Linked DNA regions of Rattus norvegicus. The main gene of each other region encodes a partner of the protein of the gene in region 3 in a complex. Links are inferred from orthologs where the notes say so. Each region holds a gene or a part of one and is shown on either strand. Other genes may lie near its edges.

The links.
Region 1: the proteins of Smad7 (region 3) and Smurf2 are in contact, whole or in part, in an NMR structure (PDB 2LTZ), measured with the Homo sapiens proteins. The link is inferred for Rattus norvegicus from reciprocal best matches to the Homo sapiens genes SMAD7 and SMURF2. Residues at the interface, in NP_005895.1 of Homo sapiens: Glu203, Leu204, Glu205, Ser206, Pro207, Pro208, Pro209, Tyr211, Ser212, Arg213, Tyr214, Pro215, Met216, Asp217; in NP_073576.1 of Homo sapiens: Glu304, Arg306, Asn307, Thr308, Ala309, Thr310, Arg312, Tyr314, Val316, Asp317, His318, Arg321, Thr322, Thr323, Gln324, Phe325, Thr326.
Region 2: the proteins of Smad7 (region 3) and Smurf1 are in contact, whole or in part, in an NMR structure (PDB 2LTX), measured with the Homo sapiens proteins. The link is inferred for Rattus norvegicus from reciprocal best matches to the Homo sapiens genes SMAD7 and SMURF1. Residues at the interface, in NP_005895.1 of Homo sapiens: Glu203, Glu205, Ser206, Pro207, Pro208, Pro209, Pro210, Tyr211, Ser212, Arg213, Tyr214, Pro215, Asp217; in NP_065162.1 of Homo sapiens: Glu313, Arg315, Ser316, Thr317, Arg321, Tyr323, Val325, Asp326, His327, Arg330, Thr331, Thr332, Phe334, Thr335.

What each region holds. Positions count from the first base shown.
Region 1 is NC_086028.1:92,281,983-92,291,849, forward strand, and holds part of Smurf2 (E3 ubiquitin-protein ligase SMURF2), read right to left. Parts: intron 6,627-9,867; coding exon 6,468-6,626; intron 5,446-6,467; exon of another isoform or gene 5,365-5,445; intron 3,751-5,364; coding exon 3,555-3,750; intron 1,062-3,554; coding exon 958-1,061; intron 1-957. UniProt on the Homo sapiens protein: E3 ubiquitin-protein ligase which accepts ubiquitin from an E2 ubiquitin-conjugating enzyme in the form of a thioester and then directly transfers the ubiquitin to targeted substrates.
Region 2 is NC_086030.1:14,811,253-14,821,119, reverse strand, and holds part of Smurf1 (E3 ubiquitin-protein ligase SMURF1), read right to left. Parts: intron 6,836-9,867; coding exon 6,797-6,835; intron 5,572-6,796; coding exon 5,463-5,571; intron 3,594-5,462; coding exon 3,460-3,593; intron 3,307-3,459; coding exon 3,241-3,306; intron 2,108-3,240; coding exon 2,032-2,107; intron 408-2,031; coding exon 166-407; intron 1-165. UniProt on the Homo sapiens protein: E3 ubiquitin-protein ligase that acts as a negative regulator of BMP signaling pathway. Mediates ubiquitination and degradation of SMAD1 and SMAD5, 2 receptor-regulated SMADs specific for the BMP pathway.
Region 3 is NC_086036.1:71,259,740-71,270,353, reverse strand, and holds the start of Smad7 (mothers against decapentaplegic homolog 7), read right to left. Parts: upstream 6,847-10,614; 5' UTR 5,425-6,846; coding exon 4,812-5,424; intron 3,468-4,811; coding exon 3,414-3,467; intron 1-3,413. UniProt on the Homo sapiens protein: Antagonist of signaling by TGF-beta (transforming growth factor) type 1 receptor superfamily members; has been shown to inhibit TGF-beta (Transforming growth factor) and activin signaling by associating with their receptors thus preventing SMAD2 access.

The DNA.
Region 1 (9,867 bases), on a different chromosome or scaffold from region 3:
CAAAAAAGTAAGTTGGAGGGGCTGGGGATTTAGCTCAGTGGTAGAGCGCTTACCTAGGAAGCGCAAGGCCCTGGGTTCGGTCCCCAGCTCCGAAAAAAAGAACCAAAAAAAAAAAAAAAAAGTAAGTTGGATTCAATGTATGACTAAGAACATAGCATAAACAGCATATAATATCTGCTCTATTAAAATACTCTTAAGGACCATTGTGAGACATACATGTGTATGAGTAAGCAAATATGATACGTGCTTGTTTAGCAAGCAAGAGAAGCAGCATTCAGTTTAGAACTGACAGAGGAAATAAGATGTGCTGATGATGTGAGAACACAGGCCAGCCAGTCCTACAGAGTGCTGCAGGGCTTCCCTGACCCTAAGTATTAACTCCGCTTCCGAGACTGTCATCTCATGGTGAATAAACCCACGGGGACTGCATCTGTCTTGCAAACAGTGGGGAGTTTTATACTTCACATCCATGACAGTTACACGTTATAGGTGTATTTTAATTTTGTCTAATACAAAGATCCATATGGGGACTGAAGAGATGGTTCAGTAGTTAAGAGCACGGACTGCTCTTCCAGAGGTCCTGAGTTCAATTCCCAGTAACCACATGATGGCTCTCAATCATCTGTAATGGGATCTGATGCCCTCTTCTAGTGTGTGAAGACAGCTAGAGTGTACTCATATTCATAAAGTAAATAAATTAGTTTAAAAAAAAAGAGAGAGAGAGCGAGCACTGTCTGGCCTTGCAGAGGACCTGGGCTGTGCTCCCAGCATCCACAGAGTGGTTCACAACAGTCTGTAACTCAACTTCCACAGGGTCCTATGTCCTTTTTTGGCCTCCTTGGGCACTACATGCACATGCTACATCTTCAGACACACAGGCAAAAACTCACGGATTAACTATAAATAAACAGATGATGACTGAATGAACAATTAATAAATAGACATCCATGAATTTACCTGGCAACTCCTCCATAGTCAAGGCCTTCTTCTCCTCGAAATTTTATCATTAATCGCTTCCATAGATCCTTTGGTCTCATTTTCATGACTTGTCGATATGATTCCTGAAAAATAATTTTAATATATTACCATCATTAGGGGCTTCAGCCTTTAATTTAAAAGTTTTTGGGTTGGGGATTTAGCTCAGTGGTAGAGCGCTTGCCTAGTAAGCGCAAGGCCCTGGGTTCGGTCCCCAGCTCCAAAAAAAAGAAAAAAGAAAAAAAAAAAAAAAAGAGTTTTCTTTTCCTCTAATTCGTAAAACTAATTTCTGTCAGAGGCACTAGTAGAAACTAAAGTAAAATAAGCACACTTCTAAAAGAACATACATGAAAGATTAACCACACAGGCAATTGTATACTGGGGACAGGGTCAAGATTGACCCTAACAAAGCCCAGATTGGCCTTGAACTTCCTATGTAGATAATGTTGGCCTCTGGATGGCCTAGAAATTGCTATATAGACTAGGTTGACCCTGATCTTGTAGAGATCTGCCTATTTCTAACTCTAACTCCCAAGAGCTGTGATTGCATAGTTAGGTGTGGTGTCACATGCCTTTATCTTTTTTTTTTTTTTTCAAATGGGCTTGCTTCACTTTTTCTTATATAAAAATCCGTTTATGGTATCCAAAGCTGGATCCTGACTCTTCTGTACAGAGACCCTAGAACGAATATCCTAAGATAATCAGGTAGTTCCCGACTTGGTGAGCACGTCTGTTTCTCCAGGTCTGGGGTAGCTGTAGATCTTGGAGATGGCATCAAAAGCAGCCCTGGGTGGCCACAGTCAATCCTGGCCATCAACAACAGCATCTTGGATGATACCAGTGACTCTGGGCCAATGGTCTGTTACCATGCTTGGGACAGTATGGGGTTTGATTATCTCAGTCCTTTGGTAGCCTGTGTGTACCAAGACAATGGAGAGTTTATCTAAGATGATGGGTGCTTGAATGCTGGTGGCTATCTTAGCCCTGTACCTAGCACTAACATCGATGTGACTACTGCAGTCTCCAATGGCCAACGAATGCCTTGAACTGTCCACCTGCCAGTGTAAGACTATTTCTAAAACTGCCTCAATCTCATCTTCACAACCTTAATTATGACCAACACCCCAAGAAGCTATTTTTGGAAGCTGATGGTCAGGGAGAAGGAATCTCTGGCTAGGGACCTGATTTTTTTTTTAAAGAAATATTTATTTTATGTACTATGAGCACACTGTTGCTGTCTTCAGACACACCAGAAAAGGACATCGGATCCCATTGCAGATGGCGTGAGCCACCATGTGGTTCCTGGGAATTAAATTTAGGAGCTCTGGAAGAGCAGTCATACTCGTAACCACCTCTCCAGCTCCCCACACTGCCCAGCCCCTTATTAAAGATTTATTTTTATTTTACTCAGGTGCATGTGTTGGTGTCCACTGAGGCCATTGTGCTCCTGGGATCTTGAGTTATAGTTGGTTGTGGGGTTTCTCCAGCCCCCAATCTTTATGTTCTTGACCACAAAGCCCAGCGTGGTGACAGGATCTACTTCTTATCTCAAGCCTTACTTTCCTCCACAAGCTCCAAGACTGCAGTCTTGGCCATGACCATGATCACGGCCTGAGTGCACCTGCAGCCTCTGAGGAAGAATCCTCTGCCTCCCAAGACCGGGAACCAGGGCCCTCTGTACCCTTCCTTCCAGTGCACAAGCATCACTACTATTATTTAGTGTTTCAGGTGAGAAGATGCTCTTTCTACCATTTTGAAATACAAATGACACTGTAACCAAGGACAAAAAACTCATCAGGATGCAGATCTCTGTGAGTTACAGCCAGCCTAGTGTAAAGAGTGAGTTTCAGGACAGCCAGGGCTACACAGGAAAACCTTGTCTCTGAAACACGTGGATGCACACACATGTGCACATGGGTGTGGGGGGAGAGCAAAGAGAGAGAGAGAGAGAGAGAGAGAGAGAGAGAGAGAGAGAGAGAATATATGAGAATACTTTTACTCCAATCAGATATGAGTTCCAAAAGTGTATTCTTAGAAAGAGTAAAACAGGCTGGAGAGATGGCTCAGCGGTTAAGAACACTGACTGTAGGGTTGGGGATTTAGCTCAGTGGTAGAGCGCTTGCATAGCAAGCCCAAGGCCCTAGGTTCGGTCCCCAGCTCTGAAAAAAAAAAAGAAAAAAAAGAAAAAAACAAAAAAAACCACTGACTGCTCTTCCAGAGGGCCTGAGTTCGATTCCAGCAACCACGTGGTGGCTCACAGCCATCTGTAATGAGATCTGATACCCTCTTCTGTATATACAGAACAGTCATACATTTAAAAAAATACATAAATAAAATAATTTTAAAAAATGAGTAAAACAAAAAAAAATGAGTAAAACAGTCATGATAGTGCATGCCTTTAATCCCAGTCTTTAAGGAGGGAGTCAGAGGCAGATGTTTGAGAACAGCCTGGTCAATATAGACAATTCCAGGCTAGCCAGAGCTACACAGTGAGACTGTCTCAAAACGGAGGGGAAAAAAACAGAGCAAATCACTGAATTTAATTTTCTTTTAATTGGAATTAAGGCTTATATATTTACCTCAAAAATCTCTTCCCTTGACACCTCAATGCGGCAGTGGCCAGCTTGAGGCTGCTGTTGGGAAAGTTCTTGCCGCAAGATCTTTAGTTTTTGAACCAAGTCTCGCTTGTACCTTGGCACTGTCAGACACTCAGTGTCATCGGGACACAACGACACCACTTGCTGTTGCTGTTGGTCTTTCAACTGGTTCTGACGACTAGAAATAAACAGAAATGTTATCAAAGGACCTTAGAAAATAAAAGATTGCAATTACACATTTAAATCAGCATAAGCCTATAAGAGAAATCTATCAATGTCTGAGTCTTATGGGGCAGATTATCAGGCTGACAGAACTGGTTACTGAGGGTAAAAGCCTCACAAACCTTATGCAGATGCTAAGAAGAATTGCCCAGATACCACTTCCTCCCCATCATCCCATCACCTATTTAAAGCTCAGGCAGGTGCCAAGCACCCCACCATCTAGAGTCTCCTTTTCTGGAAAAACCAAACAGAAGCCTAAACTGGCAGCTCATTCCTTCTACACCTGATTCTGTCTAAACCACAAAAATAAACCAATGAAGCAGCCTGTCTCCTCAGCTATTCTAGGGTATATAAGGGGCGGTTATATGAACGATGATATCAGCACTGGTCGGAAAGCAGTGGGGATGCCAATCTGCTGCCTGCAAGGCCTCTGACAACAAGCAGAGTCCTTATCAAGCAAATTATTTTCTTGAAATAAGTAAGCCTGACAAACAGAAAAGATTCAAGTTGTAATCTTTGTTCATTGTTACTTTTTTTTTTAAAGATTTATTCATTTATTATATATGAGTACACTGTAGCTGTCTTCAGACACACCAGAAGAGGGCATCAGATCTCATTACAGATGGTTGTGAGCCACCATGTGGTTGCTGGGAATTGAACTCAGGACCTCTGGAAGAGCAGTCGGGTGCTCTTAACCGCTAAGCCATCTCTCCAGCCCTCATTTTTACTTTTAAAAGTTTCCTTTAATTATAAGGTAGAATTTCTATCATTGCTTTAAAAACAATAGGCATAGTATTAAAGGGTGAAAACAGGAAGAGGAAGGGGGAGAAGACCCCACAGTCAGGCTGAGTTCACAGCACATTTTATGTTCCTCTGGGAAAGCCATGAAACTGTCCACAGCTCCATTTTCCTTACTGATAGAGGGCTAAATGTATAAAGTATGCTTTTCAAGCAAGATTCCTTTTTTTTTTTAAGATTTATTTATTTTATTTATATATGTAGCTGACTTCAGGCACATCAGAAGACGGCGTCAGTAACAATTACAGATGGTTGTGAGCTACCATGTGGGTGCTGGGAATTGGAACTCAGGATCTCTGGAAGAGCAGTAGTCAGTGCTCCTAACCACTGAGCCATCTCTTCAAGATTCTTTTTCAAAAAGGGGCTTTGGGCAAAGGATGTGTGTCCTTGGCTGGGTGATTTACTGAGTCCTAATAACGATATTCTGCAATAGTTCAACAATGCTTGTACCCTAACATTTAGACATTATATGGTGAGACCTCAAACACAGAACAGTTTAACTGTATAACATCAAAAACAGCCCTCTACAGTACGTAACCATGGTATCTCAAAGGGACCAGGAAGGACAGAACTGGGGGAGATTCAGGTACCCACAATGCAACTGCAGGGTGCCCTTAATGTGCACACAAACCTACTACAGACTTTTAACAGGCAGCTTCTCCCACTGCTTCTCTCAAAAAGGAATTCCCAACTCCTTTAGTTTCGATTGAAGACTGGCTCTAAGCTGGCACAGATAGTTGCCCTCTATATGATCTGATTAGTAATCTACATTTCCGGGGTTGGGGATTTAGCTCAGTGGTAGAGCGTTTGCCTAGCAAGCGCAAGGCCCTGGGTTCGGTCCCCAGCTCCGGAAAAAAAAAAAAAAGTAATCTACATTTCCCCTCACTTCCTAAAATGCTGAAACAGGGAAAAAAAACCCTTAGAATCACAGCAATCTACAAATGTTTGTTAAGGTTATGTATAATCCATGTATAACAGCTCCCTAAAAGTTAGACTAATAGTTAAACCAACTCCAATAATTTATTATTTGGACAATAGCCTAAGAATTTACTCCAAGAACATTTTTTGCCATAGACAGACACTCACCTACCCTTCTTCCTCCCTCTCTGCATGAGCTTAAAACAATTATACAAAGGAATAAAAACTACTTTGTAAGATAGGCAGGGTACCCCATATTAGAAGCCAGGCCATCCTCTGCTACAGAGTGAAGGCCACAGTGGGCTCTCCTCTAAGACCCTGTCTGTTAGTGCTATCAAATAAGGTGACAATGATTCAAGTTAGGCTTGGTAGTGTTGAGTACCTAAGATATAGGATCCCAAGTTCAAGGACTGTTAAGGCCACAGAGTGAGTTCAGGACCAGCCTAGGCAACTCAGTGATACCCTATCTCAAAATAACATACACAAGAATAAACTTACCACATAAATAGTTAGAAAAAGAATTAGCCTGCTCAGTCTCAACTTCTGGTCAAGCTATGGCCTCTGTAAACAGCCTTCTTGCCTGAGCACTTCTCAGGTATACCTCTTCCTGACACTTCAGTACTACTTCCTGTTTAAGCAGAGTGAAAGTAAGATATGTACTACTTCAGAGAAAAATATCTCATTTCCTTCCCTATACTCTGATCAGTAAAAGTAAATCATAGCTCAGTACAGTGGTTCCTGTCTACAGTCTGAACACTGAGCAGCAGAAGCAGGAAGGTCTGCGAGGCCACAGCAGTAATTCAAGGCCAACCTGGATTATCTCTAGAGAACTCATATAAATCTAAGTCAATATTGTAAATTTAAGAAAGTGCATATTCTTTCACATTTATTGTAAAAAGCACATACATGTCCTCTTGCTTAAGACAGTATTTTCAAATGTACTGCCTTGAAACTTACTTTAAAACTAAATGCAAGTTAGCAGAGAGACGAGGATCTGTAAACTGTGTTGTTCTGTTGTTATGGTCCACGAAATAAACTCTGCCTGTCGCGGTATTGCGGATCTCCCACCCAGGAGGCAGAGGACCGAGCTCTTCACAATTGATGTTGCTAAGATCCCTGCAAAACAAATACACAGCAGAAAGACCTCATTGCTGGGCTTGCTGGGCCGAGCAAGCGTCTGTGACACAGAGCAGGTCCACAAAGTCTGAGACAATGCATTGTTTCAGAAACCTGAGATGCTCCGCTGGAATCTTTAATTCCCAATGGTTTCACAACTTGCACATTCAACACCCAATCCCTAAATGGCTCAGAACGTATCACATAGTCTGGCATTTAGTAAGGTCCCAGGCTTTAATGTAATACACATTTTAAATTAATACGGGCAGTCACACTACCTGCCAACATAAACTACACATCAGTATTTGTTTGACAGAAAGTATTGTTTTACAAGCATCGATAATGGAAGAAATTTCTATTCAATGTTTTCTGTCTTACTGTACCATAAAGCCAGTGCAGACAAATGTGCATGCAATGAGTGACTGTGTGTTCTCCAACAAAGCAAAACTGGGACAGTACTAAAATCATGATCCTGGAAATAATCGTAACATTTTTAAAATTGAAATAACTATGTTGTTTTAAATTTTGAAGTCTATAAATTTCATGAAGAAAACCCTGGGGTAAAGATACCTAAGAAGGGGTTGGGGATTCAGCTCAGTGGTAGAGTGCTTGCCTAGCAAGCGCAAGGCCCTGGGTTCGGTCCCCAGCTCCGGAAAAAAAAAAAAAAAAAAAAAAAAAACCTAAGAAGACTGCTTCAAGGCTTATTGCAGCAACAAAGGAGAGCTCGAGTACTTTTAACAGACAAGGACCATTGCTACTGTTTCACACACCGGAAGGATGCACAGGACCATACAGAACACAGCTGAACACACTGAAGTGGCTGGGGGGTGGGGTGCCCAGAGCATAGAAGATCTTAGCTCTCCTCAACCTTGTCCTATGTGTACTGCTTCCTCCGGTTGTTTAAAAACCAGCAACAGCACCGTAAATTTCTACCCTCTGTCCTGCTAGATCAACAGCTTCCTCAGAGAGAGACCAGCCCAGAGTGATCCAGTTGTTGGAGGCTGCAGGTGAAGACGTATGGTATCCACTGAGACCACTTCCAGCTCGGGAAGAGTTCTTCAAATAGTGATTCTGATTTCTGCCCTAAGTGATCCTGGACACTTGTCTGCTGCAGAACAACTAAGGCTTGAAAACACTACAGAAGAGGCAAAGCAAAGCTCCGAGAACCCTCAATTCCCAATGAAGAACTGACTCCATGCTGGAGCGAGCTCAAGTGCGAGACTTGAGAGGCAGCTGGGAAGGTGGAGGTCAGCACCAAGATTGGGAAAGAAGTCCTGGAACTTCTCAAGCAGAGAGGTCAAAAGCGTGAAGCAATTCTACAACTTCCCAGAGAATGCCAACTAATAAAGATGAAGTAACACATCAGGCAGGCATGGTGGCATCTAACAGTAATCCCAGCAACCAGAGGCTGAGGAAATAGGAAGAGTGCACGTTCAAGCCCAGCCTGCGATGTAGACCAAAATTATATCATCTAAAACACACACATGCGCGCGCGCGCGCGCGCACACACACACACACACACACACACACACACACACACACACACACACGCACACACACACCTTTAAACCCAGCACAAGCAGGTGAATTTCTGTGTATTCTATGTCAGTCAGAGCTCCATAAAGAACCTACCTCAAAATCAAAAAAACAATACAACACAATACACCAAATTCAAGAAGGAACCTCACACACTGTAAGGTCAATGAAGACTTTAGGAGGGACCACATTGTGACAGCTAGTATAAACATTAAGCTACAGAATGAGAGCTCCAACTAAAAGAGACCATAAAGAAAATATAGGGCGTGATGTTTAAACAAGGGCTGGAGAAAGAGATGACTTAGTGGTTGAGGACACTGGGGGTTTGATCCCCAGCACCTACATGGGGTAGCTCACAACCCCCTGTAATGCCAGTTCTACGGGATCCAATGCCCTCTTCTGGCCTCCATGGATACCAGACACGCACATGGGACACATATACATGCAGGAAAAAAATGAATAAAAAATTAAAAACTATGTGACATAAAAATTATGTAGAACAATAGGAGATACAAGCTAAATAATAAATGCTTGTTTTGGCTATACAAGCCCAGGGTTTGAACTCTAGCATTGCAGATTTAAAAGAAACATAAGAAAATAATAAAAATAACGAATGAGGCATACAATTGCAAAGATGAGTCATTGAGGAAAGATTATTTGAAAGGAACAGGTGGCTTTTTTTTTAGATCAAACTTTTACAAAAAATAAAGGACAAATAATTCTACTATTGATATAATGTGGAATTTGCTTTTGTATAATTTTATTAGAATGTATAAATCTACAGTGACAACTAAAAGTACCAATTAAAAGAGTAAAACACCAGAAATGATTTTTATGCTCAAATGGAGATTAAAAAAAATGAAAAGTTAGACAGTTTCATAAAAACAATACAAGTCTGCATTTGAAGGCTTCAGTTGTATGCAACATGACAGGAATTAAGGAAAGAAGCCAACCACCGCCACACAGAACTAAGACATTAGCTGCTGGAGTACTGTGGGCGTCTTTAAGCAGAGCTAAGTTGGATGTACTCCACACACAAGCTCTTTTGCTCATTTTTTTTATGGTTTAGTTTTTGACATAGGGTTTCTCTGTGTAGTCCTGGCTGTCCAGAAACTCACTCTGTAGACCAGGCTGCCCTTAAACTTAGAGATCCACCATAGACAAGCTTTTTAAAGAAACCCACTGTACTTCTTGACTGGTGCCTTTAACGAGATGCAGCAGACTTATCTAGGCTTTTTTAATGCCTGATTTAAGCATATAAAAAGCATATAACCTCCCATAAAAGAGATACATTTGCTAAATGATACCACAAACTGAAAGACAAAACACAACTTTTAAAGATAACTGGGCCATATAGACAAAGAAAAATAATACAGGACATTGTTAACTTAAAGAAAGTCTAACTCAAATATAGATGTCATTTCTCCACTTAAAACTTGTGCTGTTCCCAGCTCCAAAAAAAAAAAAAAAAACTTGTGCTGTTATTTGAGGCAGACTCTCATTATGTATGTTAGGCTGGCCTAAAGCTTGTGATCGTCTGACTTCTGTTTCCTGAGTGCTAGAACTATGTATGTACATCATGACTCCACTGGGCCTTCAACACAAAACATGCTTTGCTTTGTTTTTTCTGTTTGAGATGGGGTCTCATTATAAAGCCCTGGCTGGCCTGAACCTTGCAATGTAGCTATGTGGACCAGGCAAGCCT
Region 2 (9,867 bases), on a different chromosome or scaffold from region 3:
CCCTGCTTCCGCTCCTGCCTCCAGGTTCCTGCCTCGACGAACTCCTACCTTGACTCCCCTCAGTGACCCACTATAACTTACAAGTCTAAGAAACCTTATTCTCCTCAAACTACTTTTGTCATGGTGTTTATTGTCATAGCCACAGGGAGCAAACTTCACACTCACCGTAGCCTTCAGGCAGCTCCGGTGACTGGTGGCCATGTGGTCGATTCTGCGGTGTCTGTAGGGATCCTCGAACCTCAGGATTTCGGAGTCGCTGTACCAGGAGTCTCTGATCTTGGCTTGGAGACTCCACAAACCTGCAGTTCCCACCTCCTGCCGCTGCACCGGTGCCATCTGTATACGGGGCAGGTTCCTCCATGAGGCAGCTGAGCGGCCTTCCAGGGCCTGAGTCTTCATATACCGTTCTGGAAGGGGTAGGGTAGGGCAGAGCAGGCGTGGAAACATTATGGAGTGTCACAAGACTCACATACTCAAAGGCCACAGGAAATTGTTCTACATCCCTTCGGTTGTGGTTTGCCCTGGAGTTATCTGTATTTTGATGCTAATTCCACTGCCCCTAGGACAGCTGCCTAGTAGTCATGTACTCAGAACTCAGGTGACTTCACCAGAACCTTCTCCCCATTGAATTTGTAAAGTACAGGCGAGGGGCAGGTACAGGATAGAAGGAGGCCTGTCATTGGAGGAGAAGGAAGGATGGGTGGGAGAGAAGTTTGAAGGAAGAGGAGGAGACTCGGACTAGAGGAAAGACAGGAGACGGAAAGAGGGGAGAAGCCATGGCAGGTGATGTTAAGATTCTGCTCTGTGTATTTACAGGTTGTTATTAATGTTCCTAAGGGATGGATGGTACCGGGCTTTGTATGTTTAAGTGGGCAATTATATCTTACCAATTGGATCTAAGATTATTGTGTTATGTGTTCTTTTATGTGAGGGTTTGAGTGTAGGAAAGTGTGCAGCTGGGATGTGTTTCCACCCAGATATCTAGCAGATATTTTGGGCACCGAGGTGCAGGACCTAGTGAGGTAAAAGACAATGTTACTTTTTATTTTTATATTTTACAACAACACCCTTTAACAAGTGACAGTGATCCCAACGCAAAGGTTCACAATATTGAGAGGGTCCAACAAGAGAGAAAGACCCCAGAGAGGAACGGGTCAGAGCCAACCATGACTTGGCCCTCTAGCAGGACCATGGGGTGGGGTTGGCAGGGGGCGGGAAGATGGGGTGTGTGTGCAGCTATCTATGGGGGAGGTGGAGCAGAAGGTGTTCCTGACACTCTATTTTCTGATATTTCACTCCAAGATGAAACTCTTGGTTCCATAAAATACTGACTCTTTGGTGTGTTTTAAACATTCCCCACTTCAAAAACAATCTGCAGCTTCAAAAACAATCTGCCTTACTGAGTCACTTCCCCTTCCGATCAGATACCTTTTAAACCTCATATTGAAAAATTTCAGTGAAGGACCAGAGCAATGGGCCTCCCTCATCCCGGAAGCAGCAGCCAGTCACAGCGGGGGTCCCCAGGCTGACTTCCAGCCTCCCCACCAAGGGGCAGTGTCAGTCAAACCCTGCTTTACTTACTATTCCACCTGTGCATACTTGAGCGTGGGCCCCTTGGTTGCTTCTTGGGCTTCTCAGGTTTTTTTTTTTTTTTTTTTTTTTTTGTTTTTTTGTTTTTTTGTTTTTTTTTTTTTTCGGAGCTGGGGACCGAACCCAGGGCCTTGCGCTTCCTAGGTAAGCGCTCTACCACTGAGCTAAATCCCCAGCCCCAGTTTTTTAGAACTCAGGATTCTCCTGCCTGTCTCCTTAGTGTTGACATTACAGGCATACACCCTCGTGCCCAGCTAAACCGGCACCTCTAATTGGTAGACGCTTCCCTCTGTTGGTTCCTGAGTCCCTGGGGTACAGTCCTTCATAAACTTGGATGGCAGCTTGGAGCCCAGATTTATCCCATACAGTTTGATGCTTCTGCCCTACAGGGAAAGAGGACATGGCTGGCACCACGGCAGGCAGGCAGGCAGGCATACGTACCCTTCGTTCTCCAGCAGTCCCCTGCAGTCCACCACCGACCCTCCACCACCTATTCTGTCTCGGGTCTGTAAACTGACTGCAACACAAGAGAAAAGCCTGCGTTAACACCCAGGGCTGCTCGAGACCCCTGCAGCACAGTGAGCCGCTGACACACGGCAACACGTGTCCAGCGTCATAAACAGGAAGTGAGTTTACACCTCCCCCACGGTCTCAGTGGAAAGCACCTCAGGCCAACAGCCGCACACACCACATAACCATTTGAACACTCCTTGAAAGCAGAGAGCAGAAGAGGTACCGAGTCTCTCAGGCCCCATCCCCATATAACACTAAAGAACACAATATTTCACCTCATTAATATTCCATCTTCAGAAGGTTTGGTTTATGCTTAGTGAGGGTGCAAAGGAACACCTTCAATCTAAAAACCATTTATGCTCCAGTCTCACTGATGCAGACAAGAAAGACGTTTTACTCCTAGGTTTCTGGTTGTTTGGTTTCTGGCCCTACATATCCCTCCACAAAGGAAAGAAGAACTCCAAGTGGACGCAGTGCAGGAACCGTTATCCTTGGGCTGCTGCTGGGCAGATGCCCTGCTCACTGTCTCAGGACCAGAGGCATCTGGAGTGGGGAATGACTCAGCCTGACTGCCGCTGCACTGAGTCCGTGCCGTACACACAGAGCCAGCCAGCATGTGCTTTCCCCTAACACCAGGCCAACAACAGGGTGGGCAAGGGGACAGTGACTCAGAGGTCACTCCATCGGATGCCTGCAGGCAATTCGGCAAGCACACTTTAACATTTCTCTCCACAGAATGGAGTCCCCTGACTAAGTCACATTACACGGAATGTGTCACACACTTTGCTTTTGCCACAGAACAGGGCTTCCCAGAAAAGCCATTCACTCCAGCTCCTGCCCATGTGGTCTCAGCTCTTTGTCACCCCTGACAAGACAAGGGCCGATTGTCCGTCCTGTGCTGAGCAGCTTAACACTTATAGACCACAACCTCCCATCTCAACTGGAGTCACAGTAACTCAGTTTCAATGACAAGATGAAGGGAACCACAGGAAAGAATGAAAACCACACGAGAGGAAAGGCTTAGTACTGGAGAGATGGCCCGATGTGGTCTGCCCGGGAAGCCTATCCCCTGTCGGCACTGGGAGCAGGACGGTGGGTTCCATCTAAGTCCCTTTATGCAGATGAGAAAATTCTTACCCACTATTTGGCCACGAACTGCATCAGTATCTGAGGGATTTAGTTTGCATAGATCCAAACGCTGGTCTGCAAACAAACAATTCAAAACTTAACCCAAAGAATGTCAACTAAGGAGGGAAGGCAGAATTCTGTATTCGGCATTCAAATAAAAGTAAGGAAAGGGTGCCTCCTGTGCTTGCTGTGGATGCACTGAGAAGCAGAAGAGCATTTGTTTCTTACAGCCGGTATCTTTCAATCTGCTGATGGCATTGGAGAGCAGCCGCACGCAGCCCAGGAAGCCAGCCCCCTGCTTCTTGTGGATCTTCTTGTGGTTCCACACACTGATGGTTATCGAGTCGGTTTTCCCAACGTACCTGTGAGAGCACGCAAACTCGTTCAGGTGCAATTCTGAACCATGACACCCTCAGCTAACTGCATCTGGTTACTCAGAACCCTGGCAGTGGGGGGGGAAGGGCTGGCTGTATCTTTCTAGGCATGGGAAAAGGACTCCAACCAAATACTCAAGCAGTGAGTGCAGGCAGCCATGTTGTAATAAGCATTTTTAAATTTGTTTTTTTCCTTTATTCATTTATTTACTAGACCAGAGATCAAACCAAGAGTCTCACAGGGGCCAAAGCAAGTCCTCTACCACTGAGCCACACCCTTGACCCCTCACTGGCAAGAGTTCTACCTAAAGTGAAGAACAATCGGCAGGTGTTCTATACCTAAGCCATATGACCAATGCCCAATCCCATCCCACACCCCTTAAAAAGACAAAAACACACAAGAAAACCCCAAAACAAACAAAAACCCTTTTTTATTCTGAGATGGAGTTTAAGTTGCCCAGGCTGGTGCTATGAAGCAATTTTCTTGAAATTGAAATATTCTATACCAGAAGGAGACTTATTGAGACTCGGGAAATTCTAAAGGAATCTCTTTTTTTTTTTTTTTTTTTTTTTGGTTCTTTTTTTCGGAGCTGGGGACCGAACCCAGGGCCTTGCGCTTCCTAGGCAAGCGCTCTACCACTGAGCTAAATCCCCAACCCCTAAAGGAATCTCATTAAAACACAGGAAGTAAGCAACTCACAAGTCTCAGGAAGTCCTGAAACTTACCAGATTCACAAGGTCCCTCCCTTCCACCCCTCCCAGAGATAAAAGGTAGGGACTGCTGAGGAGAGAAGACTTTCTAAGCTGCTGAGCTGCCTGCAAGTCCTATAGAGAACAATAGAGTCCAGCTTCCAGAGGACATTGCTGGTGCTGGGGTAGGCTTTCAGAACTGCAGCTGCTCCTCTAAGTCACCCCTCACCTGTCCTGTAAGTAACCCTGTGTGCCCATCAAATCAACAAGTGGACTACAGTGGGATCATTACCTCGGTCTGTATCTGTTTATATCTCCTCTATTACATAAGAGCCAGATTGAATTGGCTCTGTAAACGAGGCAGGCCTTTGACTTGCAATATTCCTGCCTCAGCCTCCCAAAGTGCCAGCACTCCAGGCCTATACCACCAGGCCCAGCATGTGATAAGGTCTTGTTTTTTTTGTTTTTTTTTTTTTCTTTTTTTCAGAGCTGGGGACCAAACTCAGGGCCTTGCACTTGCTAGGCAAGCGCTCTACCACTGAGCTATGTCCCCAACCCCCGTGATAAGGTCTTGTAAAGAGGTTGACTATGCTCACACTTTGGAAGGCAGTGACCAAGACTTAACAGCGTACACTGAGGCTGCTTACAATTTCACTGTCCATCCAAAATGTACAAAGGTTCATGGACCAAAATAATAACCCTACTCAATCCTAGGGCATGTTCGCCGCAGAGAGAACTATCAGGACAAACGGTAACCACATTCCAAGCCATGTGACGAAAATTACAAAAACGCAAGTGCTACTAAAATGACTCTCACGCCTGTCCACACAGTGCAGTTCACGTTAATAGTCATCGTGCAGGGACATGCATCCAACATAGAAGCATGGCCCTAAATTTGGAATGAATATACAAAAATGCATGATGGGTTGTTTTTGGTTGTAAACATGGTTTCACTAAAAAAAAAAAAAGGGCCAAATCATGAAAACCCATGAGAACTAACGCCAAGATAGCAGAGGATATTGACTGGGAACTTGGCAACATGTATTCGCTTTGGCAAGTCTTTGGTTATTAGTAAAGTCAGCCATCTTTTTTCTTCCTCTAAGTGTCTCCTCCAAGGCTGACAGCCACTTTTTCACAGCCACAGGGCCTCACAGGGGTCTGACTCACAGGTCATAGTGCTGGTTCCACTTTGGGTCCAGGGTGTTTTTCACAGTGTCGGTTGAGTGGCACTGCCCAGAGCCGTCCACAACAATCTTGGCAAAGGGGTCGGGGAGTCCTGGGGAGAGAGCAGACATACCGGATACAGTGACAGTCTACTTAGTAGCATAGTGGCATCCTACAGCAGAAGAGTGGCAAGATCCCCCCTTGGGATAAGGCTTACACATGCCACGCCTCACCGTCTCTCCATTAGCAAAGAGAGTTCTGAGCCGCATACCACGCCTTCCTACTTGGATAAGCAGAAAAACATGGAGAAGGGCTCCGCCATCTCTGGTGGGCTTTACATTTTAAAAGCTGCTTTTGTTTATGGGTATGTGTCTGTGTCTGTGTGTATGCACACGTGTGTAGGTACTGCCAAGGCTTCTAAGTGTCAGGTTTCTTGGAGCCAGACCTGCAAACAGTAGCAAACACTGAACACATACACCAAGAGATCTGTCTGTTCAGCCAGCCCATCTCCGATCATCACTAAGGGGACTGAAAGTAGAAACAAGGTCTATCAAGTAAATTCCTCAATAGTCACAGTCCCTGGAAATGTCACTGCTCTTCTGCCTGTGCTATCTGTGGCATCACGGTACCAGTCCCCAAGTCACATGTGAATGTGACAGGTTTGATGCCAGACAAGCAGCAAGGTGGGAGGCTTTGGAGAGAGACCAGGCTGCGAGCCACCGCTTTGGAGTTTCCCAGCTACTTGGCTAAAGCCGTTGGGCCTAAGTCTCTTTATTCTGCAAGCCTCCTGGGATGGGGCAGTGGCAGTTTTCAGGAATGTCGGCACTGACCTCATGGCGGGTGAGGCACTCGAAGGGGCCCGGGCACAGCCCTCAGCACTTTACAGTTCCTCCCACTACAGACGTTTCAAAGTGGATTTATTTTGCAAAACTGGATTGGCAATTTTGGCCAAGCCACTTACATCATAAATGCCTCATTTGTGTTTGAGCTGAGAGCAGCGACGGGATCAGGAAGCAGGGGGTGTGGGCATGGCTGCAATGGGGACGAGACTTACGCTGTGGGCAGCTGGGGGTGATGGTCGAGCGCTGGACTCCTAGACTCTTAGAAGACCACACCAGCTGTTTTGTTTTGTTTTGAATTAAATGTCAGAGGCCAACAGGATCTAAATCCAATCTCTGGTAGCAATATGGTGGAAGGGGAGAGCTCCCTGGAAGTTGTCCTCTGACCTCCACACCCATGCATGCTATGGGATACGCATGCACGCACTCACACACGCACACGTTAATTTCCAGATGTACATAAACTGTATTATACAAAGTGAAGCTGGGTGTACTTACTGAAGAAGTCTTTCTTTGCAAGGTTCTTGGCACACAATACTGAAAACAAGCAAACACGGGAGTGAGCATTGATACAGCGAACAGCCCCTACTTAGTGTTTGTAACAGGAGGGGAAAACATCACAGAAGCTAACGTGCCAGCAATCTCTCAAACTGTGTCACATAAGACAAATGTCCCTAGCAACTGTCTTAAAAGTATCTTCCCTCAAATTGGGGAATCAACAAACTCAAACACTGTAATTTAAGCTTAAAACATTAAATGCACGAACACAGAGATGGAATTACTGGTATGCTTTAAAACTACATAAACACCAATTTTTAAAAAGAGCTGCTGCATTTACCTTTACAAAGCTGCTAGCAACAAAGAGAGCTATGCTCTGTGGGTATTCTGATAAATAACACTGGGGGTGGGGTGGGGATTGATTCTCCAAGTATAAACCTTGGTACACGGGGGACGAGAAATCAGGAAAGACAGTGGGAAAGGCAGAGCTTTTAGCAGAGTGTGGGGAAAAGTTAAAAAGCTGCATATTCAGAAGGCTGTACAGGAACCGGGCAGTGCGGTGCACACATTTAATCCCAGCGCTCTGGAGGCAGAGGCAGGTGGATCTCTGAGTTTAAGGCCAGCCTGGTCTACAGAGTGAGCTCCAGGACAGCCAGGGCTACACAGAGAAACTCTGTCTTGAAAAACAAAACAAAACAAAATAAAACAAAACAAAACAACAACAACAACAACAAGGCACTCAGAAGGGGAGGAGGTGGCTGTAAAGGACTGGCAAGAAAGCTAAGCAGGTAAAGGGGCTTCCCACCAAGCCTGATAACCTGAGTTCAATCCCCAGGACCCACAGATAGAGAGAACGGACTCCTGAAAATGGTTGTGTAAGCTCCCTGCACTGTCTGCCACATAAACAATAACTTTAAAGAAGGTAAAAATAAACAGTACGGGCAGACAGCAAGAATGTAACTGATACAGTATCCCCACCACTGCCGCTACCGTCACCACTGCCACTGCCACCAGCACCAATCATGGGATGAGTGAGGGACTCACGCCTGTACTCACAGCCATCATGAAATGAGGCAGGACCATGAGTTCAAGGACAGCCTGGGCTAGTGAATGAGTCCCATGCCAGCCTGAGCGCCATGGCCAGGCCCTGCCTCAGATAGGCAGGCAGGCAGGCAGGCAGGCAGGCAGGCAGGCAGGCAGACAGACAGACGGGTGGATGACAGGTGAAGAGATGATATATCTTGTCACTCATCTGCCTGCTCGTGGTAGGAGGGAGCACAGGGGAGACAGTGCGCGTCCTGTTGGGCTGTCTCAGCCGTTCTGCTGGTTTTCACGAATGCAGTGTTCTATGCTCACGCTACATTGAGCACGTTCCCACGTTGCTAAGAAAAATCCGTAGGGACAGCACAACAACGGTACACCTCCCCACTTAAACAGCGCATGACTGAAGTTCCTTGTGCATTCGTGGGGCTAGCATCACCACCATCAATTTTCACGTTTCTATGGCCCTCAAAGAAACGTGTTCCCATTAGCAGTCCTCCATCCCCTCAAACTCTCTACCCAGAGGCAACCCCAGTCTGTCCCGTGGCTCTGATATCGTGCCCGGTTCCAAACATTTCTGATGACTGGAAGCACAGGCTGTGTGGTGGCTGAAGGCTGAGACTGCGTTAACTGTGCAAGCATGAAAGGCCTGGGTTTGATCCCAGCACTACATAGCCCAGGAGCTGATGTACACACCCATAATTTGAGAGGCGGAGGCAGGGGGTCAGGAGTTGAAGGACATCCTCAGCTATACAGTAAGCTCACGGCCAGCTTGGGCACATGAGATCTTGTCAATAAACCTGCTCCGGTGGTTTCCCCCTGCAAACACTGAACCCAGCACACCCTGACCTCTATCTCCACATCACTCGCCAAGGCTGAGCCCCAGCTTTCCGAGGCACTGGAATCCAAATACTTCTTAATGGAGTAATTCTGATCTCATCTGTTAAAAATAAGAGTCACCATTCATATTTACAAAGCTACTGATGTTTTCATCTAGGCTCACTCCTGTGGGACTTGGTTACATCATTAAATGGAGATGGTCTCGGCGATGTTGTGTGAAGAAAGCCTGGCTCGGTTTGTTTACAGGTCACTGAGGGTCACTGCAGTCTAAAGAGACACGATCTCTTCTGCTAAAATAATGTTTGCCAATTTGCAATCTCCGTCCACTCTTGATCTGCCTGCTTCCACAGGAGATACAAGCTAACGGAATCTCATTCTTCCTACAGTGCAAAATACCGCTGCACAGACAGCAGCCACCTTTACCACAGGGCAACCATGTTGCTCCAGCCTGCCTGGAACTCTCTATGGAGACGAGACTGGCCTCCAACTCAGAGATTCTCCTGCTCCGTCACCTACCCCAGGCTGGGATCGAATGGTTTCACCACCACACTTGGCTCTACCCCTTGTTTTTAAACAAACCCACTTCCGTCCTGATTACACGTGTAGAGGACATTTCCTCAGACCAGTCGGTAGAGTGCTTGCCTAGCATGTGCCCATCCCCGGGTTTGAGCCTTGGCACTTCATAAGCCCTCTACGGTAGTCCAGGCCCACAAAGGCAGCACCAGGAAGTAAAGGCAGAGGGATCAGGTGTAATGATGAGATAGAGGCCAGCCTGGGCTACAAGAGAACTGGCATTTTTTTAAAGGTAAAAAAGTAAAGACAGGCTGGAGAGGTGGCTCAGTGGTTAAGAGCACTGACTGCTCTTCCAGAGGTCCTGAGTTCAAATTCCAGCAACCACATGGTGGCTCACAACCATCTGTAATGGGATCTTATGCCCACTTCTGGTGTGTCTGAAGACAGTTACAGTGTACTCACACAAATAAAATAAACATAAAAAAATTTAATCTTAAAAAACAGTGACGACAATGACTAGCAAGGGAATGGACAGAGAGCCCAGCTTCCTTTCCAGGGCCACACAGTATGCCCACGCCCCCTGCTGCCGCTCAGTGGTTTTGGTTTTCATGGAGGCTAGGTCTCAGGTGGCCAAGCAGCCTTGAACCCAGTATATAGCTGGGGACAACTCTGGACTC
Region 3 (10,614 bases):
CCCACGGCCACGCCCCCAGCTCTCGCTGGCTTCCTGCCAGGGGCAAGGTGTATTTCAAAGGCAGAGCCTGGCCTCTCCAGGGCAGGGCCTGGAGACCTCAGTCAGCGTGTCAGCCTGTCTCACATCAAAGGTGAGATGCAACCACAAGTGATTTTTATGAAATGCGCTCTGCCCTCTGCATCGCCTTTGATCTTAGGAGGGATTTACACACGTTAATTAGGCCTCCCTACCACCCCTGTGAGGCAGCAATGCATTTGAGAGGCACCCAGGTAAACTGAGGTGCCTTGACTAGGCCAGGGGCCACCCAGGGAGCTGAGCCACCCCCCCCCCCCCAAGTCCAGCTCCTATTCCAGGGCTTCCATTCCCAAACCTTCCTCCCTGGAGCTGGCCAGGCTGAGCTGAGCTGGTCTCGGGTATCTAGACTCCACCCACCGAAAACTCTGCAAGGATAAATCTCAAGTCAGAATCTCATCTTCTACCACAGAGCCCAGACAGCAGACAGCAGACAGCAGACAGCAGACCTGGGCCGTCCCTGGGCCTCCTCTGCCACTGTACATTACCAAACACCTAATTAAGCCCCGGGTTTCTGTGGAACAAAGACACACATCCTCTTCTCCCAGCAGTTCCAGGGGAAGTGCAACCCAGAGCCTGGGGAACTTTCTTTCCCCCACTTAGCTCTCCTGAGTTTCCCCAGTACTACTTTGTATATGGATGGAGGCAACAACCCGAATAAATGAATGAATGACCTAATCATTCATTAAAGGGACTTGGAAAAGTTAAGAGACGTAAATTAAGAGGGCCAGATGGCAGATCAAGATGCCAGCCGTTCTGGTAGGCTCTGAGGCTTGTACCACAAGAGGTCATCCCTTGCAGTCAGTCCCTTTCAGAGGCAGAGACAGAACTTAGAAGGTAAAGGGCCCATCCAGGCTCTCCCTCCTGTATCTCTACAGGTGAGATGTGGGGAAAGAAGCAGCAAATCCTTTGTCCTCAAGGGACGGGAAAGTGGGAGAACCTTCATGCCTTGCAAAGGCCACAAGTCACAGCCACCCCTGTGCCAAGGTACAGGCAAGACTCCTTGCACACAACTGTCTTGGGAAATAGAGAACCAGGTGTAGACCTAGTCCAGGTCCTTCAAGGAGGCTAGACCCATCACAGCTTTTCAAGTTCAGCCTCCAAAGGATCCCTCAGTTCCAACTACACCAGGCCCCAGAACCTTTCCCTTTGCCTCCTCTGAAGCAAGAGACCTCACGAAAGGGATTCCCTCGGTTTGACTGGCTCATTAAGGTTTTAACAGTTGTCCATTGTAAAACCCTATTTTCTGTTTCACCTACGTAACCCAACACCAAACTCCTCAACCTCAAGCTGGGAAAGAATTCTAAATCCCCAGGTCAACACTTTCCCATACACTAGGTGGGGAGAAAATTGAGGGACTTGAGGGAACCCCCCCCCCCCCGAATCTCTAGCTACAACGCTCCTGGGTCACCACAACCAGCAAATCGGCCATAGACCAGTCTCTTAGGACAGTCCCTGAGACCAGCTCTGCTATCCAGACCACTGCTCTCTCAACAGGGGCTTTTCCACTACTTTGCCCCGTGTTTCTACACAGTGGTGCCTGAGTTTGGGTCCTTTTTCTTGTTTTGTTTGAAGCAAAACATTTGGGGGGTGAGTAACCAGCTGGTTGGGTTTCGGATTGGCAGGTTAATCACCTCCTATTGGCTGATCTGGGGAAGGTTGCTCCCCTCCTTGGAAATGGCACACATTCCTGTCTTTGTGGCTTCTCTGTTTACACACATTTTGCTACCTAATGTCAACACTTGCTAATGAATAAATATATCACTCCACTCCCCGAAAATGAGGTCCCGGCCTGCCAGGATGGCTGCTTAAATCTTGTGAACAGATTTTACCCAGTATCTTTTTTGGCAAACCCGAGAACACATGGTCCTTCTTTGCTATGGAGTTTGGACTTTAAGGGAACCTCTACCAGAGCTGTCTTCACCTCTGGGGCTACGGGGCCTTCCCTTTCTGTTTAAGGTTAACAGGCCACATTTGAAAGACGGATGAGGAAACCACAAAGCCAAAAGAACTGAGGGTGGACCCCCGGAGAAGTGACCTCTGGGAACAATTCTGGATCCTTTAAGCCACAAACTCAAGACAAGTTATAGCCCTTGGAGTTTGCTAATGCCAACTAAAGCTTGTTGCAAATGCAGAGAGCTGGGTTTATCTCGTCATTAATGACCATTTATCTGGTGTTTTGTAAATCGAAAGCAAAATATCACATACTCCACAGGCCACCTATTAGGCAGGCACCAGGCAAGCAGCAACGCCTTCCCAACTTGAGGGAACTGGCGAAGCATGTGGAGGGAGGGCTAGCCCGGACTTTGCTTACACATTCATTAAGCACTTAATTTATGACAAAGTCCCTGAAAAATTGGGAGGGGAGAGGGGGGGTTGCAACAGCCAAAACTCATGAGGCAAAAGGTTCCAAGAGCTAAAGGGTGCCCAGCCCTTCACTTTTCCCTCTCCTTGGCAAAGCAAAGACTTCACGAGTGTTGCGTTTTTTGTAAGCGCCACAGAACAGACACACAAAAAAAGCAAAGCTAAAAAACCCGGACTTGCAGCAAACGGTTCTGTAATCCTTGCACTGTTAAGAAGGAAGCAGGACTTGTCCCTGAGGCCATCCCCAATCTGTTTTGCTGACCCTGTCCCCTGGCACGGTCGGCTCTAAGGGATGGGACCTAGCACTGCCAGCCAGAAGTTGAATGCAGACAACCACAACAGGGCTGGTGCCAGTCTCAAATGGGCTTCTGCCCTGGCCCTCTGCCATCAGGCCAGAAAGCAACAGGCAGAGCTGTGCTGAAAACTTTTATGGTCTCTCTCTCTCTCTCTCTCTCTCTCTCTCTCTCTCTCTCTCTACTAAGAATTCTGAGAAAACCCCCAGGAGAAAGCAGGCTTGTGGGTGACTGAACAGGGGGAAGGAACATAATCCCCCTCCCAACTTGTTGCACTTCTTAACCTAGTGTGATACTCCAAACGGAAGCCTCTCTTCAAAATCGCTCCTCATCCATTTAACCATCCCTACCCACAGATCCTTCTGGCACTTACAAGGCTTCAGAACGTTTCCATCAACCTGTCCTATTTGGCTCCCAAGACATGCAGTGGATTAAAAGCCTCCATGTGTGAAAGATGAACAAACTTCCACCACACAGTTCAAACACATAAAAAAAGGAACAAATCCTAAAACATATCTGGGGGGGAAGCTATGTTGGGGGGGGTGTCCAATCACAAGAGGAAAATCCACCAAACTTAAAACAGAGGAAAATTGCCTTGAGCAACCCAAGCACCACCCCAAGACCCCAACCCACACGCAAAAACAGGGTTCTGAGAAAAGAAAGACTTGAAACCCATCTACTCACCAGTTGGTTTGAGAAAATCCATCGGGTATCTGGAGTAAGGAGGAGGGGGAGACTCTGAAATTAAAAAAGTAAGAGGATATAAAGGCTGAGCCATGAGAAACAAGAGATAGAAACTTATGATAACTCAGGCATTCTTTTAGGCCAACTGTTTGTCTTAGCTGTGGGGGTTGGAGGCAGGGCCGCGAGGCGGTGATTGCCTTGATATTTAGCTGTCAGATAAACAAAAGAGGCCGCCTGGCGCCAGCCTCGGCGCTCTGCTCCTCCACGTCTGCGGCTGCCGCCGCCGCCGCGCTCGGCGGGCCGAGCTGGAAACCACCGGCTGGGCCAGGGCTCCAGCGGCTGGGCCGCGCAATGAACAGTCCATAGGGTGGGGGGCGTCTGGGGCTGCTTAGTGTCTTTTACAACTACAGATCCCGCTTCTCCGGCCCTCCCCGCCACTAGGAGCACAATTCACCTCCGCCCCCACTGCTGAGCTTGGCACCCACGCACTAGGGAATCCTACCCAGCCAGCCCACCTGAGAGGGAAAAAAAAAACACCCAAGTGAGCTGCTGGTGAACTTGGAAGATTTGCAGGGATCAGGGCATGATCCTCTACCCTGAGCACAAAGACAAGGAGCAAACAGAAGGCATGGAAAACCTAACAGGATAATATGGGGAGGAACCTGTTCAGGGTCCCGGCCATGAAGCCCAGGCCAATTATGGTGCAGGGAGGGACGTCACTGAAACGCAGGGGTGGGAGTGTCGGGCGTTCTAAGGACCACTAATTGTACGCTTTTCTGTGCGAAATAAAGATAAAAAAGTAGAGGCCACCCAACTTCTCCAGGCTGTTTGCTCCTTCTCGCCCCGAAGTGTGCACAGCTGAGACTGGATACCCAGTTCAGTCTCCATCCTACCACTGCCCCCAAACTCCAAAGCTGGGAGGCCAGGACAGTATCTGGGCCACTCGTGCCCCACGTGACTGTCCTTATTTACTAAAGGAGAGACTCTCCAGCCTTTAAAGCTAGTTTCTCCCAGCCTTCCTTGGCGGGCTTGGGCCGAATCCAACTCGGCCACACACCTCAACGCCTTTCCGGGTGCGGGGGAAGCGTGATCCCCCACTTTGCTCTGTATCCCCTTGCATACCCGGAAATAAGAGTGTCTCGTTTTCTGCAGCATGTCAGTTCAGTATAAGGCTAAGCAGCAGTATCCCTGGGTCTCTTCCTCTGGAGGGAGGGGGGATGGTGCAAGAGCAAAATCTTGAAAGGGAACCCCAAGGAATGTCAGAGTTTCCCCCCCCTCGTTCCTTCTTTGATTTAGTTCCCTTGTCTCCTCCAGGAGATAATGCACACACCCTCGAGCATTTCTACCAGCATTTCCTCGCCAGAGGGAACGAAAGGTGGACTCAGAACAACTTCTTACCTAGTTCACAGAGTCGACTAAGGTGATGGGGGTTGCAGCACACCAGCTCGGGGTTGATCTTCCCGTAAGATTCACAGCAACACAGCCTCTTGACTTCCGAGGAATGCCTGAGATCCGGCCACCTGAACACTTTGCACAGCAGGAGGGGGAGCGAGTAGGACGAGGGCGGCTGCGCGGGCTGCGCGCTGGCGGGCGCCCCCGGGCCCAGCCTGCAGTCCAGGCGGCCGGGCAGCAGGAGGCACGCGGTGCGCGTACCGCCGCGGGACTCCACGGCCTGAAGCAGCAGCTCCAGCTGCCGCTCCTTGAGTTTCTTGAGCACCGAGTGCGTGAGCGCCTTCAGATCCGCCTCGGCGCCCCCGGCCGCCCCGGCACCCGAGGATGGGGGATGGGGATGGTGGTGACCTTTGGCACCTCGGACTGCCTTACCCAGGCAGCAGCCAGCCCTGCCCGCACCGCCGCCACCAGCCCCATAAGCCCGGCCGTCCGTCGCCCCTTCTCCCCGCAGGTCGCCTCCGCCGCCGCCACCCCCCACGCCCTCCTCCTCGTCCTCGCCGCCGGGCGCACGGCTCCTCCAGAGACGCCGGACGAGCGCAGATCGTTTGGTCCTGAACATGCGGGGCGAGGAGGCGAGGAGAAAAGTCGTTTGCCGGCTAAGGAGCGAACATGACCTCCGCACACCATGAAGAAGTCGGGCGCCGAGTTGGGGCAGCAGGCGCAGGCGACAGCAACAACAGCAGGGGCCCGGGCAGAAGCGGCGGCGGCCCGAGGGGCGCTCCGTGGCATGCGCCAGTCTCCCGGAGGCCGGGGCGCGCGCGGGGGCCCAGGGGCGCCCGCCGGGGATCGGGGGCCTGCGCTTCGGCTGCCCCACCCGGCGCGGCCCGCGCCCTGCGCGGCTCTCGGGCCCCGGCGTGCCCCTGAGGAACGCGGCCGCCGCTTCCCTGGGGGCGGCCGAGGCAGCCCCGGTCGACGCCTCTCCCCAAAAAGGCCCCCCTACAGTGGCTCCCGAGTGTCGGGCTCGCCAGCCTCGGCTTCCTACATGGAAGATCCTCAGGGGCAAAAAACGAAAGACGTTAGGCTGAGCTACTGAAGGGAGGAAAAAGCCTCTTTCCCCCTTGCTAAGCAACTTAATTTGGGGGTGGGGAGAAGCAGGCAATTAAAAAAAAAAAAGGCAGGCACACGATTTATTTTTTTCTTCTATATCCTTAGTAACCGGATCTCCTCGAATTCTGTGCACGCGAAGACTTGAGGGAGGGGGCCGAGTAGACTTCACCCCTCGTGAGATGTCTGGAGGGTCTCTCAAAAACCCCAAAACCAAATATGCAAAGCCCCCAGTGAAAAAACACACCACCTTCTCGCACCTCGGAGGTCTGGAGGGCACCGGATGGAGCCGGGGTTTAAAAAGAGAAAATGTTTACAAAGTAGAACAAGATGTTGGAAGGGTGGGGGGAAAAACCGTATCCACGAGTTACATCCCCTTTTTTTCCTTGCTGAACCCCGCCGGTCTTCCTTTCCTTTTCTTCTGTCAAAAAAAAAAATCGTATTTCTTTTAATCCACAGAAAGGTCTGGTTAGGCTGCTTCAATCTTGCGTATCTGGGTGTTTTAGAGTCTCTGGTCTTTCCTCCTGCGCTCCCGGGGGCCCAGGTCCTCGGCGGGGACTTCCTCCGCGCTGGGGAAGCAGGGACAGAAGATGCTGCGGCGGCGGCTGCGCCCCGGGGGGCTGTCAGCGCGGGGGAGGGCGGCGCGGCGGCGGGCTCCGGCGGGTCGCAAGCTCTCGCCCCCGAGGGCACAGGCGGCAGGCTAGCTAGCGTGGGGGCTGCCGGTGCCCCTTCTCCTGGCCGAGGGTGGTCGCTGGGGCTGCTCGCATAAGCTGCTGGCCCCGACCCGACAGTGGCGGCAGGAGGCCCGGGTGTCCTCTCGCAGCCTCTTCCTCCGAGACTCTCTTCGTCGCGCCCGGGAGCCTCCTCGTCCCCCGTCCGCCCTCTCCTGGCGCTCGAGTCCTTCTGCCGCCGCTGGGGGCTCGCCGCGCCGCACTCAGGGACTCCGGGGCCGAGCGCTCGGCGGCGTGGCGCCGGCTGGCTGGCTGCGTCTCAGGCAGCTCTCCGGCGCGGCGAGCGGACCGAGCGAGGCGCCCGGCTGGCTCTGCTGGCGCTGCTCGGGGACAAGATCCTCTGTGCGCCGAGCAGCGAGCGAATGTGCCCAGGGCTCGCCGCCTCCCGCAAGGCCTCCCGCCTCCGCCCCCTTCCCTCCCCCCTCTACCCCTCCCTCCCCCGCCCCCAGCCGCCGCCGCCTCCTTCCCGCCCCCCCACCCGTCCCTCCGCTCGGCTGGTTCCACTGCGCAGTGGCGCGCCCGGCTCCGGCCTCGTCACGTGGCCGTCTAGACACCCTGTCGCTTTAAAAAAAAAAAAGCGATTGTGTTTCGCAAACAACAGATCGGGTTTCTAAAAGCTATTTCAACCCCCCTCCCAGTTACCGCCACCCTCTCCCAGGTCTACAGAGGGGTACCCACGGGCGGAGGGAGGTGGGAGGCCGAGACGGCCCCGGGGGTCGGCGGAGACCCAGGGGGAGCAGGGGGAAATCGGAAGAGCTGGGGGCGTGGAGCGGGCGAGTTTGGAGCGGAATGAGCCGGTCAGTGGCCCGATTTAGACCAGTGGAGCTCGCCGGGGCGCTTCATTCATTCGTTTTGTTTTAAGGCCCTGGCGGCGGATCCCTTGGAAAGGGGAGGAGATCGCTGTCTGTTTCAAAGACATTTACACCGGCCAGGACAGAGGCCCTGGGAAGTGTGCGCTAGAGGGAACAGCCGGGCGGCCGAGGGCGGAGAGGCGGCGCGAATGTGACCTCAGCGGCCGCCGCGCTCCCTCCCGCCCTCTCCCGCTCCGGGCTCGGGTTTCTAGGACTGCCTGGAGAAGTGTGTCTTGTGCACAGCTCTGGAATGCATTTGGCAGGCTGACGAGCAGCGAGGGGCAGCATCCTGGAGGGAGGAGGGGTGCAGCTCGCCTGCGCGCCGCCGTCAGGTTTCCTCCGGGCTTGGAAGACCTCCGGCACCCGCCACTCGGCCTCCTGGCGCGCGAACGTTACCCAGTGAGCAGACCTGCTTAGAGCATTCAATCGCATGCGGGGCCTACTTGGGGTCAGAGAGTTTTTCCCTTGACCTCAGGTTCCAGAGAAAGCTATCCCCAGATGCAGGTGACTGCTTGGAACTAGAAAAGGTATTTGTCAAGCGAAAGTCCTGTGGGTGCTGGTCTGAGGATAGTACTAGGGTGTTAAATGTGACTGAGACAACTAGTTGGCATGGTGACCCAGACTCACATATTTATTGGGTTTTTTTGAAAAGTCTCTTGAGGGGCTGGGGATTTAGCTCAGTGGTAGAGCGCTTACCTAGGAAGCGCAAGGCCCTGGGTTCGGTCCCCAGCTCCGAAAAAAAGAACCAAAAAGAAAAAAGAAAAAAGAAAAGTCTCTTGAAATTGTAACAGGATAGTAATAAAACTCATGGGGGTGGGGTAAAGATTTTTTACCAAATGTGGACTGTAATTATTTCTTCCAACCGGAATTATATGTTCTGACCAGTAACTTCTGTTTCTAACCTGATAGATACTTTCAAGGGCTGGAAGTATAATTCATTAGAGGTCCTGGGTTGAGTTACTAGCAACTCAAACAAGGTAGGAGTCAAGGTAGGAGTTAGGTCTGCAGACCATTCCCCTACCGCACTATATGATAAAAAAAAAAAAGAAAAAAAAGAAAACCACAAGTTTGTCACATGATCCTCTCCCGGCGTGGGAGCCCTAAGTTGTGGAAGGAAGACAATATCGTCATCAACAAGACTGGACAGATAGTGGCACGTAGGCAGTTACTGGGTAGCATAGTAATTTTGCTAAAAATTAAAATGCCGCTTATTGGAATTGGGTGTGAGCACTCTAAAGCAAACTGGGGAGAAGACAGCACTCAAGACCAAAGAAGGAGGGGAAGAGGGATGACCCCACCATTACAGACAGGGGATGAATGACCTAAGAGACAGAAATGCAGTCTAGGAAATGTGTCATCTGGGCTGGAGAGATGGCTCAGCGGTTAAGAGCCACCAGGTCCTGAGTTCAACTCCCAGCAACCACATGGAGGCTCACAACCGTCTGGAATGGGATCTGATGCCCTCTTCTGGTGTGTCTGAGGGCAGCTACAGGGTACTCATATAAATAAACCTTTAAAAATAAATAAAATGTGTCGTCTTAGAATGGGAAGGGGCTGGAAAGGTGGGTCTTGAATTTTCAGGGGACCTGAGTTTGCCTCCTAACATCCACTTCAGGTACCTCATAACTGCATGTAACTTCAGCCCCAGGAGAATCTGACATCCTCTTCTGGTCTCCTCGGCACTGCATCGGCACTGTATTCTCACACACACACACACACACACACACACACACACACACACACACACACAGTAATCTTAGAAAGACATAGGGAACCTTAAATGGGACGTGGGGGGGGGGGCTCTTCGGCTCACTGGGTAGACAGCTTGTACTAGCAATGGTCCTTAGGTGAGTTGCAGCCTTGAAAGACTTTCTAAGGCTTCCTAGAGAAGGGTCATGTTCTTGCAGGGCCCCATTTCTCTCAGTAGACAAGAGAGGCTAAACCAGGCTACAGGTGACAGGAAGAATTAAATAAACAGAAAGCAAAGGTCATCCTCCTAATTACACTTTGTGGCCGCACGGACAATCTGGAGAAGTCTGGAAATGTGAGTGGTGCCAATGCCCTCAGTAATGACAGGCCTGGGTACCCACGAGGCAAGTAGGTGTAATGGGGATTTCAGGAGCTTGCATCTGATGTCACAGCTTGTCTGGATGGAGCGTTCATCTATTTGCAGAACTATGTTCCCATCTAGTGTAATTGTGGGTGTTTTAATTCAGGCGTCACCTTTATTTTGCCCTCTCCACACGGCTTCCTTATACCATTTTACTACTTGAGGGAGTAGTGGGTGGGATGCTGGGCAAGTGGCTGCAATGGTTGGTGCTTTATGGTTTCCCTGGCATCCCCTGAATCTGTTAACATCCCAACCTTCTTGACAGCCAGCCCCACCCCATCACATTCTTACTCCTTCCCTTTCCAAGAAAGAAGCCAGAAGCCCGAAGAAGCCAGCAGTAGAACTCTGGCCGGCTAGTATACCTAGAAAGGGAGGGCTCTTCTTTCCGCCTCACGGTCGCAATGGGGACCCGTAGGCACCCATTTCGGACTATTGCGTCCCTTCGCAGAGAAAGTTAGGAGTCCGGGCTATTGTGAATGAAGTTGATTCTGATCGTCTTCTGGCAGAGAATGTGGAATAAAATATCTCATTTGCAGTTGTTTGTTTCCTGTTGGGGCCTTCTATTTTCATCTTTCAGTCACTTTGGTGATAGTAATCAAACCCTAATCATGGTGCAGCCACAAAGTCACAGGGACCAAAATAGCAGACGTATGACAGACAAGGACGGAGACAGCTAAGGACCTGGTTATTAATCACCAGTCCCTTCGCTCACAGCCCATTGGCTTAGGTGTCTGGAGAAGAGCGGAAGCCGAGAGATATCGGCCTGTGCCTGAGGCCTCTGAGCAGCCAAGGAAGGGCCCCTAGGTCCCAGAGCAGCAAAGTGAGCAGGAAGTAACCTCAAAAAAAAGTAAGTTCACTGCACGTGTCAAGCAAGGCGGCTCACAGAAGGGCCTGATTTGAGCCAAATCAAGGCCAAGAGAGTCTCCCCAAAACTCTTGACAGCTCAAAAAGACCACAAGCAAAAGCAGAAACCCCCCTACCTAGGAGGACAGGATTCTGCCAATTGGTTCCTT